Linked DNA regions of Notamacropus eugenii. The protein of the gene in region 2 purifies or fractionates together with the protein of the main gene of each other region. This does not show direct contact. Links are inferred from orthologs where the notes say so. Each region holds a gene or a part of one and is shown on either strand. Other genes may lie near its edges. The genes, in order: DAPK3 and LUZP1.

Evidence for each region.
Region 1: the proteins of LUZP1 (region 2) and DAPK3 purify together in Homo sapiens (affinity purification with mass spectrometry; 3 studies listed by BioGRID and IntAct, with this or other methods). This does not show direct contact. The link is inferred for Notamacropus eugenii from reciprocal best matches to the Homo sapiens genes LUZP1 and DAPK3.

What each region holds. Positions count from the first base shown.
Region 1 is NC_092875.1:71,134,380-71,143,256, forward strand, and holds the start of DAPK3 (death-associated protein kinase 3), read right to left. Parts: upstream 4,074-8,877; 5' UTR 3,925-4,073; intron 3,542-3,924; 5' UTR 3,441-3,541; coding exon 3,379-3,440; intron 1,450-3,378; coding exon 1,089-1,449; intron 434-1,088; coding exon 304-433; intron 1-303. Other genes in the region: EEF2 (elongation factor 2), read right to left, coding at 6,941-7,134, 7,465-7,597, 7,715-7,897, 8,056-8,409, 8,685-8,792. UniProt on the Homo sapiens protein: Serine/threonine kinase which is involved in the regulation of apoptosis, autophagy, transcription, translation and actin cytoskeleton reorganization. Involved in the regulation of smooth muscle contraction.
Region 2 is NC_092876.1:63,558,690-63,567,566, forward strand, and holds the start of LUZP1 (leucine zipper protein 1), read right to left. Parts: upstream 5,572-8,877; 5' UTR 5,464-5,571; intron 1-5,463.

The DNA.
Region 1 (8,877 bases), on a different chromosome or scaffold from region 2:
AACAATGTTAAGTCAGTTTGGGCACTGACCTAACAAGACACAATTTGGGCACTTGAGTTTCTATATGCCCAAAAGAGAGGATAACGTGACAAACAGAGAAATAGGTGGTTGCAATCCAGAAGGCTTTGTGGTAAGGAAAGCCAGGCATACTTGGGTTGTAAGAGATGCTGCAGCCAGCATTCTTAGCCTCTCCCTTTGCCAGAAAAAGCAACTTATTCAACTGGGAGTCCTTAAATGTTCAACATAGTCCTCTTCCCAGAACTCAGGACCCTATCACCTCTACTACATAGTATGGCCACTTACCTACGAACTCCGGGGTTCCAAAGATGTTCTTGAATTCATTCCCTGCCTCAATTTTGTGGGCAATGCCAAAATCAATTAGCTTGATTCGAGGGTTGGGCACATTCTTATCCAGAAGCATGATGTTCTCTGGCTGTAAGAAAGGGAAGAAAATCAGGGTTTAAATCCTTTGTAGGGTTTAAGGATAAATCTAGTGCAACAATTATTGTCAAATATGCTCCAAATTAGAAAAAAAATCATGAGCTTATGTTAGAAAGCCATCTAACCCTCCCAGAACAGACCAAGAACTGAATGGCAGCTGTTGCAGAAAAGAAAAAACTGCATTTGAACAGTTTTACAAAAAGCAACAAACTAGAAAGGCCCAAAGCCCAAGATGAAAGAAAAGCAGAAAAATGGAACAACAAATAGGGGCTTAAATACTCAAATTAACTCCTCTCCATAAAAGGAAACAAGGAAGGGGCTGAAGAAGCAAGAATACTGGGCAAAGCATCATTTCTAGAACTGGCCAGAATTCTCAGGGCCAGAAACAAGAGGATCATATGATTACAGACTTAAGTGTTTAGACCTTAGGGGCCATCGAGTTCAACCCATTCCTCTTACAAATGAGGAAACTGAGGCTGAGAGGTTAAGTGACTTACCCAGAGTCACACAGCTTCTACGTGCAGAGGCAGTATTCAAACCAAGGCCTTCTTTACACCAAGTTCAAGAAAGAACAGAATGGCCAGAGAAGGCTGTTCTCTATCCCTTTAAAAGTCCAAGGAAAGGTAAGGCAGGAAAGCAGGGCTCACCTTTAAGTCAAAGTGGGCAATCCGCTTGGAGTGCAGATAATGGACACCATCAAGGATCTGCTTAAGAAACTGGGTCGCCTCTTCCTCAGTTAGAGACTCCTTCTCAGCCAAGAAATCAAAGAGCTCACCCCCAGAAACCAGCTCCAAGATCAGCACTACATCTGTCTTGTTCTCAAAGATGTCATGGAGGGTAATGATGTTAGGGTGCTGGATCTCCCGAAGAATGTCCACCTCCCTCTCTATCTCCTCCCGGCTCACCCCCCGACGACTCGATGACAATCGCCTCTTCTTGATGAACTTGGCTGCATACTCCATCCCATTACTCTTCTGACGGCATTTCCGCACAATTGCAAACTGCCCACTGTACAGAGTTCAGGGAAGATGCAAGATAAGGGAAAATATGAAGGGAAAGAGAGAAAAGAGAAAAGCTCTTAGAAAAGCAGAGGTAGCCTTCTTTATTCCTCCTAGATGTCTCAGGTGAGAAGACTTGTGTTCAGACTCCATAAATGTTTCTCCCACAACAATGGACAAAGCACCCAAGACACCTGCAGATAGCTGGGATTCTTCCAGAGATACAATCTCCAATAAGGTGTGGAAGGCTACTAACTCTAGGAAAGAATGAAAACAGCAGCTGCCAGAACTAAGATAGGCCTATGATAGCATAACTCAGCTATGGGAAAAGGGCTTGAATAAGCCAATTTTGGGTTGGTCCCTGAAAATAATGATTCTATAGGATTAGGTTCAGATGTCCTCATACTCAGAACACATTCATACACTGTCACCAGATTTCCTTTGGGTAGTATATATAGAGGGTTGGATATTGTTCCCTTAATTTCCCAACTGGTGTTTATGAGGCAGTATAGCCAGAAAGTGGAAAGAAACGCAGTTGGATGACCTTCCAGGTAAGAAAATAGGTAATAAAAAAACTATGCAAATCAAAAAAACATAAAGCAGAAGTCATAAAAGAACAGGAGTGCAAAGTATTTCTTAATCAGGCCCTGATCTACCTATCTATTGTTATCTAACTTCCCTGAAAAAAAAACCCCAGCTTTATTGCCCTTACCAACAGCAACTACCCACTCAGTCAAGTCTTTCTCATTACTACACTGACGACACCAAGCTCATTCCAGACTCTTAGCCTCGGTTCTTCCTCAACCCCCACATGGAATGCCCCACTCACTCTTCTACCTCTCCAAAGCCTACCTACCCATTCTTTAAGGCCTCAATAAAATCCCATCTCCTCCAAGAAGTCTATCCTGATCATGCTAAACCATTCTCTTTCCCTTCTCCAAACTCCTCTATTTTCCTGAGAGTTGGTACCACACAAATTCTCATTCATTTCTGTTGTTTCCTTTAACGTTTGTCTTTCCAGTTATACTTTAAAAACAAACCCCATTAAGCCAGCCAGCAAGTATTTAGCAGCCACAAGGTCCAGAATTACACCTTACACTCCTCCTATATCTCCAACAAAAAAGCACAAAGTTGAGCTCACAGTAAGTGCTCAATATTCCTCAGCTACGTGAGAAATCCAAAAAAATCAGGCAACATAGTATTAAGTAATTTGAGTTCAAATCTCAGTTCTAAAAAAATGTAACCATAGGCAAGTCACTTCATTTTTCTAAGTTTCAGTCTTCTCATTACAGATTAGACACTACCTACTTTCTAAGGCTATTTATTGTAAGGAAGGTGTTTTATAAACCTTAAAGTCCTACTTAATGTGAGCTACTATTATAAGAATTACCTTGTTACTTTCATCCTACTAACCTACATGCCTCAACTTGAGGAAATTCCAAAAGCAGAGTATGATTTTAAAGGAACAAAGAGGCCCATGCGGTGGGAAGAAACTCTTTTCAGCCGAACCCACATACAATACTCAGTTATTTACATTTTTATCTGGTGACATCATCGGATTGGCCTATAGGCGGCACTAGGAGAGAGATGGCTGAACAAAACTCACCATATAAGGTTTGAGGCTCCGTGGGAGAGTGGAGACTTTAGGACTAACCAAGTATACAGATTTACAGGAAATTATCTACTTTGTTGAGTCAGGGGATTTAAACTTTTCTCACAAAAAAAAAAAATGAAAGCAGCTGGAATTGGTGACAATGGCACAAGAAACTCAACTTTTTTCAAACTTCCTTAGTCTTTCTATGACAAAGGATAAAAGGTAACATTAACCTGTCATCTGTTAACCCGTCTCCCTGAATGAGGAGAAGGAAGCAGAAGTCCACTTTCATGTTTGCTCGCTCTCCCCCATTATCAGCCCTCTCTCCCTGCCCTAGACTCTTACCTGCCCAGCTCCTCGCCCATCTCATAGTGGTCTTCCACATCCTCCTGCCTGAACGTGGACATGGCTGCAGGCCAGCCTCCAAAAGACGCGCAAACGGCCGCAGGAGGACAAGGAGGACAAAGCAGGCCTGGGAGAGACGGGCTGCAGCACCGGGCAGAGCGGCCTAAAGGAGGACAAGCCTTCCAGGAGTTAGGAGCCTAACGGGGTGGGGCTAGAGGGGCTGGGGATGCTGTACGTCCCTCCCCCCAACCCTCCCTGGCACCCACGCCCGGCCAGGACAGTCCCCTCAATCCCTCACCCCTTAAACGCTCCACGACAACCCGGGGCCAAGGACAGCCTTCCACCCATCCCGTCTCCCCTCCCCGGCCTGGCCTGCTCCTCCAAGGCCTGCCCGCCCGGCTCAGCTTCGGGCCCCGCGCCCCGCCGAGGCCCCCTCACCTCCATTCTCCTCCGAGCCCCTCGGTGACCCCCGCGGGGACCTCCCCCAAACGACACAACGGTCCCCGCACTGCCCTCCCCGGCCCGCAGGCCTCCCCCGCCTCCTACCTCAGGCCCCGCGCCGCCGGCGTCCCGTCAAGGGTCTAAGAAGGGAAGGCGAGACTGCAGCCAGCCCCGGCGCTTACCTCAGCACCCGGTCAGCGCCGCCGCAGCATTCCGACATGCTCTGTCGTCACCGCGCCGGCCCCCATTGGCCTATCCTCTGTCCCGTCTCGGTAACGTCATCGCGCTCCGACGTTCCCCCGCCCACAGCGCGCTGTCATTCTCTTTCCCTCTCTCCCCTGCCAACCAGGCCCGAGAAACTTTTGCGAGAAAGCCCCGCCCACGAGAGCCGGGCGGGGGGGAGGGGAGGGAGGAGGGGCCTCCGCTGTTGGTCTCTGAGTTGCTTGGCCCTAGAGGGCGGAGGGGAAGAAGGGCGGGACAAGGCCGTGTTGGAAAAGAAACTGATTGGCTCTTGCCGGTGCAAGTTAGAGAGGCGGAGGAAGAAAGACTAGTTTCCGGTTCCTAGTTCTCCCTACGAGTGCGGAGCCGGGGCTTTGGCTCCAAAAGCTGGGGTTTGTTTTCCTTCTCTCCTCCGTGCAGGCCCGTGCAGTTTTTCTACGTAATGGCTGGCGGGCGTTTCTCTAAGTGCTTTGTCTTGAGAGGATTTTATGGAGAGTTAGAAAACTCAGATCAAGCGACCTTGAAAAGCTTTGTTTCTCGCCCTTATGAAGACCAGGGTGGGGAAGTGACTGGGGAAGATTCCCAGGCGTCCCAACCCAGCGGTTTAGAGCCAGAGCTGAAGGCCCTCGGAGACCGTGGGGGAGATGGCGACCGGCCAGAGGCGGGCACCCTCAGACTGGACGGTAGTGGTGTAGCGGGTACAGCGCTGGGCCTGGAGTCAGCACGACCCGAGTTCAGATCGGACCTCGCTGATGCTCCAGCTGCGGCTGTCACCACGACTGTTACACCTGCGTGTACACTTCATGCGTGCAGTTTAGTTGGACTGAGCCACGTCCCTTTAATGCGGCAGCGTGTCGCTCTGTTGAGTCGAGTCTGACTCCTCAACATCCCAAATGGGACTTTCTCGGCAAAGATCCTGGAGGGGTTTGCCATTTCCTTCTCCGGCTCACTTTACAGAAAAGGAAACGGAGGCAAACTGGGACACACAGCTAGGCAGAATTTGGACCACAAAACGTAGGGAATGTTTGAAGCTGGAAATGTTGATTGATTGGTGCTAGAGTTCAGGGTAGAGTTCACGTAGTTCTTGGTCAGATGTGCGCTTCAGGAATTTCAGGGAAATTCAGTCTACTGCAGTCCACGTGAGAAAGTGAATGTGTAAGTAGGATGGCGATGTGAGTAGAGAAAGGATCCCATGAGATTATCACGGAGATAATACAAGCAGACAACAGCTACTCTCATCTCATCCTGGCATATTAAATAATTTCAAGTTGTCAAGTACAATCAAGTTTACAAACTCAGAATGTCATACAATTGCCTCCACATTTCCCTTTCCCAGTAGTTCGATAGTATATGCACCACCCAAAGGCTTGTATAAATATCACCAGAATTAAGTTTTAGTCACAGCTCAAAATACTTATTGCATTGTGATCTTCCAAACTCTTAACAAGAAAATCTGAAGTACTAGTTTTAGCAATGTTTGAAATGTAAAGGACTGAACTGGGCTTTTAAGGCATTCTTTTCATTTAGTTAAATGCACTTGAAGCAAATCACACATGGGGTACAACGGGCATTTTAGCAAACCTGTGAAAGCTGAGTAAAAACTCTTTTAGAAAACGATGTCCAAGAGCTAAGTCTAAAGCAGCTGAGGCCTTCTACAGATCCTAGCTTTTTCTCCTGAGGGAAACTAATTGTTCCCTCTTTTGCAGCCAAGTCAACTTTCTGGCTGAACCCCCTTTCTAAGTGCTACTCCACATTCAAAACACCCTTACCACTTCAGGAATGCAACAGCAAGGATCTCTAGCTACCATTCTTACAGAGTAAGACAATTTCAGCTACCAGTTCATATTCCAGTGTATTACAGATTTATCCAGGCCACAATCTCAAATTGCAGCAAGGAAAGCCAAATACTGTTAAGATTCTGGGAGAATGTATCATGGGAAGTAAAATATATAATCTGTGGAGGACAGCAAACCTGGGCTGATCATATTTTGGATGTTTCACACAAATACAATCAAACCACATATGCCAAGGATGGACTTTACTTTAGCACCAAAAAAAAAAAAAAAATCCATTCATAATCCCCAGCAGTAAATGCAGTTATTTCTCCAATACTTAGGTTTTCAATAAATGCCCATTAACCAAATGTTGAGCTTGTATGGTTCAAAATCACTACCAAATGAGTTGTTGAAATCTAAATGCAGGAAAAAAGCACTTGGTAATTAACTGGATCCTAAGTTAACTTGCTGAGAAACCACATGAAGAGTGGTACCCAGAAGTAAAAGACAACCCCATACCTGGAATGAATCACTTCAACACTGTTATTGATATTCATCACCATATCAAATTTATTATTCCAATGGCACTAATACATCTGTAGATGTTCATGATGACAATCACACTGCACAAAATTTTCTTGCCTTCTAGTTTCTGGCCAACTAGAAAATATCTCCTTAACATTCCCCTCACCATTCCTGAAGATCCACTACAGGCCATTTACCCAAGCAAAACCTCTTAATGCACTCTTGAAATTTGGGGGGGCACTATGTTTCCCTTTGAAAAATGAAAAAAACATTACCTATCCCAACCCACCCCCCCTTGGCCAAATATACCCTGCAAAGAGGACACTTTTTCTACCTCTTTGAAGACTTGAATAAATATGGAAACAGGCAACTCAAGTTGCATCAAGTGGAAATGTTTCAAGTTATGGCACCGAGTGGGCCCCAAATGTGTCATGTGCAACACAGAAACCTATAAGGCTGAATATCAATGTGTTTTGAAAGTCTCAAGTTGCTATGAACTGATTAAGTATATGCAAAGAGATGTCATTGCAGTTTTAACAATTTGCTGCATTGGTGTTATGCTAGAGTCCAACAGGAGTCTGAACTGATGTTGGAAAGAGCTTTTACAATTTGTCCAGGAAGTTGTCCAGGGCTGGGATACCTTCCTTCAGCCCTTTGCGTTTGCGGGTCTCTGCCACAACTTGGCAAGGGCGGCTAGTGTTGTCAAAGGGGTCTCCAGGCAGGATCTGCCAATGGTCAAATACACATTGAGGGAAGGCTTGGCCACCTGTATTAGACCTCAAGTCAGCTGTGAAGCCTAGACGAGAAGGGAAAGGATAAGAAAGGGAAAAGTTTAAAATTCAAACGAAAAGTACCAACATCACCTTAAACATAAAAATGACCGATCTGCAACACTGAAAAGTATCTCCCCCACCAAAAATTTTTCTAAAGTAAGTTTTCGTTACAATGACCTAACCAACATCGTCTATAAACCACTGTATACTACTTTCCACAATCATCAAAACTCATTTGATCTTCACAAGCACCAATGAGAAAAGAAAATAAGATCAAGGCCACAGAACTAAAGTCTGAAACACAAGTTAGTATGCCTTCTTTATTGAAAGGTCTTATTACTCTAAGTACTTACCAAAAGATTCATTGACAGGCAGATAGGCTTTCACAACAAACATGGGGGTGCCAGCAACCTGGGATTCCTCAAACACATGCCCTCGCTTCCTGTTCAGGACACCATAAATGCCCCCAACCACTTGTTCTGGACACTAAATGGAATTTTTAAAAAGTTAACATTACATGACAGTGTAGCGAAGATGAAGTCAGAGCAACCAAGAGCTTTTTTTTCCCCCAAGACATCTCAAGTAGCATAGCATATTTCTTACCTGAATCTCCACAAGATAGATAGGTTCCATAAGACGGGGCTGAGCAGTCAACACACAGGCATAAAGGCAGCGCCGGGCTGTGGGGATGATTTGGCCACCACCACGGTGAATGGCATCAGCATGCAGGGTCACATCATGTACATCAAAACGGACTGCCCGCATATTCTCTTCACATAGTGCTCCCTAAAGGGGGAAAAAATCCAAAATGTAATTATGGACCTTACATACAAGGTATAATTCATCTGCTTTAGAACCTCAACAGTCCCCAAATTAAGTGCTAACAGAATTAAAGCTGAATAACCAGTATACAATATCCCAGCATTTATTTTAAAGCTATCTACCTCCTTGGTAGCCCACTGGAATCCAGCCACCACGCTGTCCTTGATCTCATTAAGGTACTGTACTCCCTTGGTGATATCTGTGAGAACATTGGGCCCAGTTCCATCAGGGCCAAAGCACCAGATTTTACGGGCCTCAGTCACATCCCACTCATACTTCTCAGCCAGGTACCGAGCCCTTTGCTTGAGCTCCTGACGGGCAGAAACTTCGCCTTTGTCAATATCTTCAGCCAGGCCATCAGGGAAGGGCCGGGCCTTCATGTACAGCCTGTTGTGCTTATTGGGAGATTTGGAAAGGCAGAGAACATTTGACTCCTCACTGACTGTCTCACGGTAGGAAACAACAGGGTCCGATTTCTGCACAGGAAAAAATACAAGTCAGTTAATTAAAACAAAAGCAGACAAGTTACTCTAACATTAAAAAAAATTACAAGGCATCTAAGGATGTACAAAATAAGAGTTGTGACAAGTCTTTAATATTCCTTTTATCTAACAAAGAGTGTTTAACTGTAAGTATCATCAGTTCCCATCATGCTCAAATTCATTCATGCCAACTAGTCTGAAGAGAAGTTAGACATTCACAATCCCTGCGTCCCTGCTTTCTTAAGACCAAACAAAGATGTGGAGCTTACCTTGATGGGAATGCATGCATGATCTTCTTCAAGATCTTTCAGGCAGATCTCCAAATGCAACTCCCCTGCACCAGCAATAATATGTTCTCCAGATTCCTCAATGATACACTAAAAAAAGAACCAACATATAATGAGAAACATGAACTATTTTAGCATAGATGTCTCATTTGTTAATCTAATTGGCAAGAAAGAT
Region 2 (8,877 bases):
GAGAATAAGAAGAGGTAAACAGGGATGTCAGATTTCTCTAAAGAAAAAACAAGGAGTAGAGCTGGAGGAAGTCAGGGGAGGGATCAAACGCTGGAAGAATTATCAGAGGGAAAAAAAAACCCAAGTTTTGTCAGAAAACTAAGATGTTGCAGATGGATTTTTTTTTTCACCTTAAGTACTTCATTTTTGAAATGTTAGCTCCTAAGGGTTGGATATCAAGGTATTGGAATACTCAAAAAAGAGAGACAAGGCCCTTGTCAACACAGTCCTATATAAAAATATCAGCCTCTGTCCTCTAGGGGCCAATATTTCATAAAGGGAATATATGAATACCCAGCTCCTTTAGTAATCAATTTTAACAGCATCTTTAGTAATCGCCACTGTCCCTGAGATTTTGTGAGTCCGGATATATTTCTCCTTGCCTTACCCTAGTGACCCTCATCGTCTCTATTTCCCCTGGACTCTTGCTTCTTCATACCACCTTTAACTTACCATCTCAAATTATTCAGTAAATCTTTCCAGAATAGGGGTTCTTAACCAAGCGATCATGAACTTGTTTGTAAAATATTTCTTATTTTAATATGTCTCATGTTGTTTATTATATTATGTAAAAAGCATGTTTGTGGATTATGTCAAAGTACAGATTTATATATTATGTCGATGTTAAATACTAGTTACATATTAGTGTCCTATGTTAAAATGTGTGTATATACATGTATGGGGTTATATATGTTTCTACATATATACATTATATATAAATACACACATCACAGACATCTATTTTTTTCCGTGGTAATCCTCTGTATTTTATCACATGCATTCAAAAACCTTGTTCTAAGAAGAGATCCCTAGGCTTTAGCAGACATGATCCCCTTCCTCTAGAGGTAGAAGCAAGGGATGGAGCTCTGGACTCAGGACACTAAAAAAATCCTTTTGAGTCCTGGCTCTGACACTTTCTGTCTGTGTAACCATGAGCCAATAAATCACTTAGTTCGCTCCTTTGAGCCTCAGTTTTCCACATCCATAAAATGGGAATAATGTACTTTCACTGCCTACCTCACCAGTTATTATAAAGTGCTTTGTAAACCTTAAAGAAATGTAGAGCTCTTACTTTTTCCTGCCTTGATCAGGTCACTTCAGTAATCTCTCAATGTGATCAAACAGGGGCAATGGAGTCTCTTCTAACTGTAAATTTCATAAAAGCCTCAGGCACCAACAAAAATCCCAACCAAAAGGGCCCTGCCCCCAAATATACACAAAATAAAAGGCCCTCCCCTAAACAAAACATGTTAAAAATGCAAATCAAAGTTTATTAGGAATAGTTAACGCTGCACCACCACTTTGGGTTAGGGATTGGCAGCCTATGTCTTAACCTGGATATGTATCTTATCTTTATCGAACTGCCTTAAAAGCTCCCAGAGGTACCTAACATCAGGAAGTATTCACTTTCTGTTCCTGAATATCACAGAGAGGGCTTCTACAAGAGAAGACAGTTTGACACCACCTATCTTCCCACAACCACTGATCCACACCCCCTGACCACAATAGGAACTCTCCAGCTCTCAACATTTTCGTCTGAGGAATACCACCAGCATCACCAGTCATTATAAAAAGTGCCTACTATGTACCACCATCAATTTCTATGTTGCCTATAAGGCCCCAAACTCAAAACCATCAAGCCCTCAACAAAAAAAAACAAAACAAAAAAACATTTTCTGGTAGATTTCCCCTAGTAGGATGTCAGTTCAGTGGGGGCAGGTTTTTCTTGTGGTACTCTGCATAGATCCTCTAAAATCACTTCCAGACCTAAATCTATGACACCAACACATAGCAACAACCTAATAAACTCTTGTTTTGTGGATTCTGGCAACACTACCATGAAACAATGGTATGCGTCTGTATCCCCCTTTTCTAAAGAGTGACTTAAGTGACAGCCTTGGTTCACAGAGTTTCTCCACATCAAAGCTAGCACTAGAATCCAGGTCGCTTTATTTCCAGAGAGTGTTTTTTCAGTTAGGTCAAAATAATGGGGAAAAGTTAACTTCTAAGAACTAAAGAAAGCTCAGTCAAAATAATAAAGCTTAAGTGTATCAGGGGAAAAAAAAACCCTGGAGTCAGAAGTAGGGTGAAATCTGTGTGACCTTGGGCAAGTCAATTCAAGTCCATAGGCCTCAGTTTCCTCATCTGTAAAACAATAATGCGGAACTAGATAATCTCTTGGATCAAACGAGATAATATCTGTAAAAGCAATTAACACAGCACCCGGCATAGGTTGTTCAGTCATTCAGTCCTGTCTGATTCTTCATGATCCCGTGGACCACAGTAAAGAGTCCCTTCTGTTCTCCATTATCTCCCAAAGACTGTCAAAACTAATGTTTATTGTATCCATGACACTATTCATCTCCTCCTCTTTTGTCCCATTTTCCTTTTGCCGTCAATCTTTCCCAACATCAGGGTCTTTTCCAATGAGTCTCATCTTTTCATTACATGACCAAAGTATTTAAGAAATGTTTACTTCCTCCTTCCTTCTAAGGTCCTTGACAGCTCTAACATCCTCTAATTCTAAGAAAACTGCTCATGCTTTTATTTAATAAATATTTGCTAAGTGCCTACTATGTGTAATATATTAGTCACTGGGGAGGAGGATATGATAAGAACATGCACCCTATCTTCAAACAACTTAGTAGGGTTGATCAGACATATATACAAATATACAAATAAGAAAAGTGCAAAGTATTTGAGAAATTGAAACAATCCAGAACACTTAGATTTCTGCTGGTTTACTCATGCCCCCAACTTCCCACCGACCCCTCCCCCAACAAACTACTCTCAGTTTGCTCAAATAGATTTTCTTACAATGTTTAGGAAAATAGTTTAATTTTAGAAACTTGGAAAATTCCACAAAACAAAGTGATCAAAAACATATCTGCCCTGAGGGGAAATTCTAACCAAAATAATTATTTCTGACAGAAGAATTTTCTACTTGGTTACTTCACTTAGCCATTCAAAACACTCCACTCCAGCAAAGGGGTGATGGAAAGGTGTGTTTGCAAAGTATGACAGCTCATATTCTCCCACAGAAAATAGTGCAGTGAAAAGAGCACTGGATCTGTCAGAGGTAGGGTTTCAACTTCTGACATTAGCTGTGTGACCCTGGGTAAGTCACTTCCTTTCCCCCAGGACCTCAGTTTCCCTTTCTGTAAAATGAGAGGGCCAGCTTGGTGGCCTGGAGTGAGGAAGACCTTAGTTCAAATGCCCTTTCAGACACTTCCTAGCTGTGTGACCCTGGGCAAGTCACTCAACCCTGTTTGCCTCGGTTTCCTCATCTGTAAAATGAGCTGGAGAAGGAAATGGCAAAACCAGTATCTTTGCCAAGAAAATCCCAAATGGGGCCAGGGAGAGAGCTGGGCAGGACCCGAACGGATTGAACAACAAAAAATGAAAGAGTGAGATTACATGATCTCAAAGGTTCCTAGCAGATCTAAAATCTCTACTCGATGGTCCGCTGTTGTCAGATGGTAGAGACAACTCATAGGAGGACTTGAAGTCCTCAGTTCTCATACCAGGCCAGCTAATTAGAACTGAGCAGCAGTCAGTTGGTAAAAGAAATGTACCTCAGAGAGACACCGCCCCTCATAACATCCCCACGAGGCTGGGAGGACCTGGGAGTATCATCCTCAATTGTCAGATAAGACAGCACAAGTCCCTTCCCCCAAGGTCACCGAGTGAGTCAGGGGAGGTGGGACTAGCATGGTAGGTCAGTGTATCTAGTCCCTAGTCTAGGACGCTTCCTCTTTGGGGGTGTCTACCCCCAGAGTGTGAGAACCGGCTCCGGCATTGCTGAGACAATACGTAACGCTGCTCCCGGGGCATCGGGAAAGGGTCTGACGTGAGGAAGAAAGGCTCCAGGGCTAGCCGATCCTCCTTGGCTTGCATACTCAAGCCATTAACCGGGACCGCAAGATACCAGAGCGACTGTTAAGAGGGGCCCATGACCTGGAATACTCACTCCCAAGGACATGAGACTCCCTGAAGACGCCCTCCCTTCTCTGGAAAAGGACACTCACTCTCAAAACCACAGTTCATGGCAGTACTTCTGGAAGCCAGGATTCTCCTCTGGGTTTCTGTGGGGAGATCGGCACAGATCTCCTCTGGGAAGCCGAGGGAGGGAAGGAGGGAAGGAAGGAGGCAGGCAGACAAGCCGCACACTCTGCGGAAAAGTTTAATGTGACTTGGGGCTGGGGGGTGGGGGGGAGGGGGCGGTGCTCCCCCAAGGAAGGCACGGCCTCCTCCCCAGGCGCCCGGCTTGGTAATTAGCCCCTTCCCCGAGCTCTCCCCGCATTTCCTTTCAGATTCCACAATTAATTAGTTTTAAGGACTGTCTACTGGCAACTTAAACAAAGCAAATGCCTCAAATTCCTTCTCAGCCCATTGGTCTAAGCCGAAAACCAGCATCGCCTGGGACAGCGGGCAGGGCAGACAGCTGCTGCTGCTCCAGCCACAGAACTCAACTCAACTGCACTCTTCTCCTCTCCTCTCTTCTTCTCTCCTCTCCACTCCCTTCCCTTCCTTTCCTTTCCCTCTGACCTCCCCTCACCCCTCCCAGGGCGGGGAGTAGGGATTCTCTTCGGACCCGCCAGGCCTCCTTCCCACCCCCAATTCCTGTTCCTGTCCTTTCCCCATTCCCAAACTCTGCCCTCCCCTCCTCGATCTCCCGGGCTTTTCCTGTATGATCACTTCCTTCCTCTCGGGGTTCTCCCTCCTCCTCGTACAGCCTTCCCCCCATACACGATGGGGGACCCCACCACCACCGCGCCCTCAAATCCTTTAGGCTTCCTTTTCCCGCCCCAAGCCCCTGGATTCCCTGGATTCCCACTCCCACCTTCCACTCATTCTCCTGATTTTTACTCCCCGCCCAGACGGACCTCTCTCTCCACTGATTCTCCCCTCCTCACCTCTCCTAAGTTCTCAGATTGCCCCCTCCTCACTTCTCCGCTCAGGTTCTCTGCCTCCATCTCAGACTGTCCTCTCCTCACCTCCGCACCTCCCCTCCTCCCCTCGGATTCTCCCCCTCCCCCAGCCCTCCTCGGCTTTTCACCTTCTCCAGATTTCTCCTTGGAGTCTCCTCGCAATCAGTCTCTTTCCCGGGATGATCAAGCCCACCACGTCGGCCCCTTCCACCCCCGCAGCCTGTCACTCACACGCTTGCGCCCCCCGGACGCCCCCTCCCCGCACGGCTCCGGGGGGCTCTCGCCCCTCACTCACCCGCCCGCACTGTCAGCCCGAGCTCCGGCCCAGGTGGCGCAGCCCGGCGGCCAGGGAGGCTCGGCGCCCTCCGCGAGTGCCCCACGCGCCCGCCCGGGCTCCTTCTTCCCGGGCTAGATCCCCGGGTCCCGGGCTGCCCGGCCCGGTCGGAGGTCCCTGCCTCGGGCTCCCGCGCCCTCCCCGGGGCCCCGTTCTCACCTGGGCGGCTGCGGCCCCGGCCCCGGCCCGGCCCGCCCGCGCTGCGGAGGCTCCCCGCGCTGGGCTCCTCCGGGCGGCCGGCAGCTCTAGCTCCACGGGACTGACAATGAGGGGCGGGCCGCAGCTGACGTCAGCGCCGGGCCGGGGGCGGGCCCAGGGGGAGGGGGAGGGGAGCAGAGGGAGGAGGAGGAGGAGGTCCCCTTCCCCCTGCCCCTCTTCTCCTTCCTCCCCTCCAGGACTCCCCCTCCAGGACTCCCCCTCCATAGCTCCTCACCTCTCCTCCCTCCTCCCACCACCCTTCCCCTCCCCCCTAGGCTTATCCACCCCTCCCCCCCAGGGCAAGTCTGGACTTAGGTGTAGTCCAGTGAAACAGTCACTCCCGCCACCCATAGGTAAGCACCTGGGCTGCGCGGGGAGAAGGAGCGCGGAGGGAGGGAGGGAAGTGCGGGAGCCCTGGGATTGGCTGCGGAATTCAGAGCTAAACCGGGCACCTCCGAGCGCTTCTAGCCCAACCCCCTCATTCCCTGTAGTAGGAAACTGAAGACCAGAGAGGTACAGCGCTCGCCACCGGACGTCTTAGAATCTTAGATTAGCAGCTTCAAAGACCCTGGCCCCATATTACAGGTGGGGAAACTGAGGCACCAAGAGACTAAATGACTTGCCCAAGGTCACGCAGCTAATCAATGTCATAGGATCATAGGTTTATCCTGTAGATATTAAGCTTTTCACCTGCGGGTTTCTCATTCGAGTCTCCTTTCTATCAGTCTCTTTTCTGGGAAGGTCCAATAATTTAAAACTGCACCAAGACTTTTGGGACAGCCTGTATACATTGTTTGTACGTAGTTGTTAGGTCGTTTCCCCCATGAGACTGGAAGCTCCGTGAAAGCAGCCTTTCTTTGTATCAGTGCCTGGCACTTAGTAGGGGCTCAATAAATACTCGTTGACTTGACTTGGAAGGCTATCTAGCCCAGCCCCGTCCTTTTCCTGGTGAGGAATCGGAAGCTTGATGAGATTCGAACCGGCGTCTTCTAACTCCAATCTGTGCTCTTTCCACTACATCCGAAATATTTCAAGTCCTTTTTTTTTTTTTTCCGCTAAACTTCGAGCCCTGGGAGCTATCTGACCCCCCTGAGTACTTTGCACATTATTTTTTTTTTCCTTTGGTCAAGATCTGTGATTTCATTGGTTTAGAGACACCAAGTGGGGAAAACTCCCTTTACTCCTGCTTATCCACCAGTGTCTGCAGTTTATGGTTTTAGACAGCATGAGAGGGGAGGCCCTCTAAAGTAGGGGTGGGGGAGGGGTGTTAAATGGATTGCCCAGGGTCACCCAGACAATTTGGGTCCGAGGCAGTTCTGGGACCCAGTTTTTCCCGACTCTCAGCCTCTTTTTTGCTTTGCTCATAGAAAGCAATTTTTACGTGTTTCATCAACAGAATAGTTGACTGACTGTTAACTGATGATGGCCCATTCTCATGGTCAGTATTTTTCCATCCCTGCAAACACCTGTCAGTAAGTGGCTGCTGCAGGATCCTCCCTGTTAGCTCTATGCCGCAAAGTTGACCCATTTCTGCCTGGTGCCTGTGGACAACTCGTGCCTCTTTCTCAAAAAAAAAAAAAAATGTTTTAAATCGCACGTAGCATCTTCTGCAGTCCTCCACCAGAACTGCAGTGGGCATCCATGGACCTGCTGGACTTCAAGAAGAAAGGGAAGTCTTTGGGATCCTGTCTTTGGGACAGCTTCCCAGGTCCCCATGGACAAAAATGATTGCCCCCTGGGAGAAGCTAGGGCAGGGATGAACACAGACGCCTGAAACAAAAGTAACTAGTATTGGGGGAGATCATTCCACAATGCCTGAAGTCTGAGAATTACTCTTACCTTAAAAGAGAGGTGAGAGCTTTCAGTGAATGAATTAATAAATTAATGAATGCATGTAGGCATTATTGGGAGGGCTTACTATGTGCCAAGACAAGGCCTGCTATGTGTCAACCCCTGCTCCAGACCCTGGAGATCTCTGTTAGGGACTAATCAGGATTAGTACTTATTCAGTGGCATCACAGAGAGGGAGCAGGTTTCTAGCCAAGTTTTTGTAAGACCTTGGATTATTGAGTTGCAGTTTCCAATTCCATCTGGCGCGACATGTGTCTGTCATTCAATTCAACCCAATAAATACTGATTCCTAGAATCTTAGAAGTACTAAAATGTTCACAATGTCAGAGTTGGAAAGGACCCATTGTGATGTACAAAGTACAAGGGGAGGGCACCCAAGACTCCCAATCGTATTTGATCCCTTCTCAAAATTGTACTGGAGATCAACACTCATAATATTAAATTTCAGAGTTAGAAAGGAGATTGAGAGCATGGAATCTTAATAATAACTTGTATTTCTCTACCATTTTATGGTTTGCAAAACATTTTTCTCACAACAGCCGTATCAAGTAGGGAGGGCAAGGATTATCCCCATTTTAGAAATGAGAAAACTGGAGATCAGAAAGATTAAGTTGATTTGCCTGTGGTCACTTAACCCCTCTGAGCTTCAACCTATACATTTAGTAGCTAATAAATGGGGATCTAGGTGGTACAGTGGAGTCAGGAAGACCTAAGTTCAAATTTGGCCTCAGACACTAGGCTTGTGACTTTGGACAAGTCACTTCACCCTGTATACTTAAATTTCTTCATGTGTAAAATGAACTGGAGAAGAAAATGGCAAACCACTCCAGTACCTCTGCCAAGAAAACCCCAGTTGGATTCACAAAGAGGCTGAGATGACTGAAAAACAAAAAAACTACTAAATGTCAAAGACAGGATTAAAACCCAGGCCCTCCTGGGGCCCTCCTTGACTCCAAGATCAGCATTCTTTCTACTACATCACTCTGTCCTCTTTTAAAGCAGAAAGAAAAAGTAAAATATAGTCACCCCCATATAGACCCAAGATGGAAGAAACATCAGAATATAGAATGCCAGAGCTGGACGGGACTTCAGCACACAGATTGTTAGAACAGAACGTCAGCATACTGAATGTCAAAGCAGGAGAAGACACTGGAACACGAATTTCATGAGTTGGGAGACGTGTATCAGATTTTATAGTCCAACCCTCCTTTTTACAGATGAGGAAACTGAATCCTAGAGAAATGAAATGTCTTATCCAAGGTCACTCGTGAGTTAACGACAGTCAGGATTTGAACCTAAGTTTTGCAGTGTGGGACTCTTTTTATTGAACAATACCACACATCTTCTATTTCTTCTCTCCTCACTAATCACCTCACCACTATAAGAAGTGCCAAGAAACACCATCCAGACACCCAAGTTACTCATAAGCATTACAATTTTATTTATCTGTAATCTTGGCAGTATTCTGTGACACACAGTGTGGTTTGCCCACATCACAATTCTTTGGGGATACCACTGGTCCCC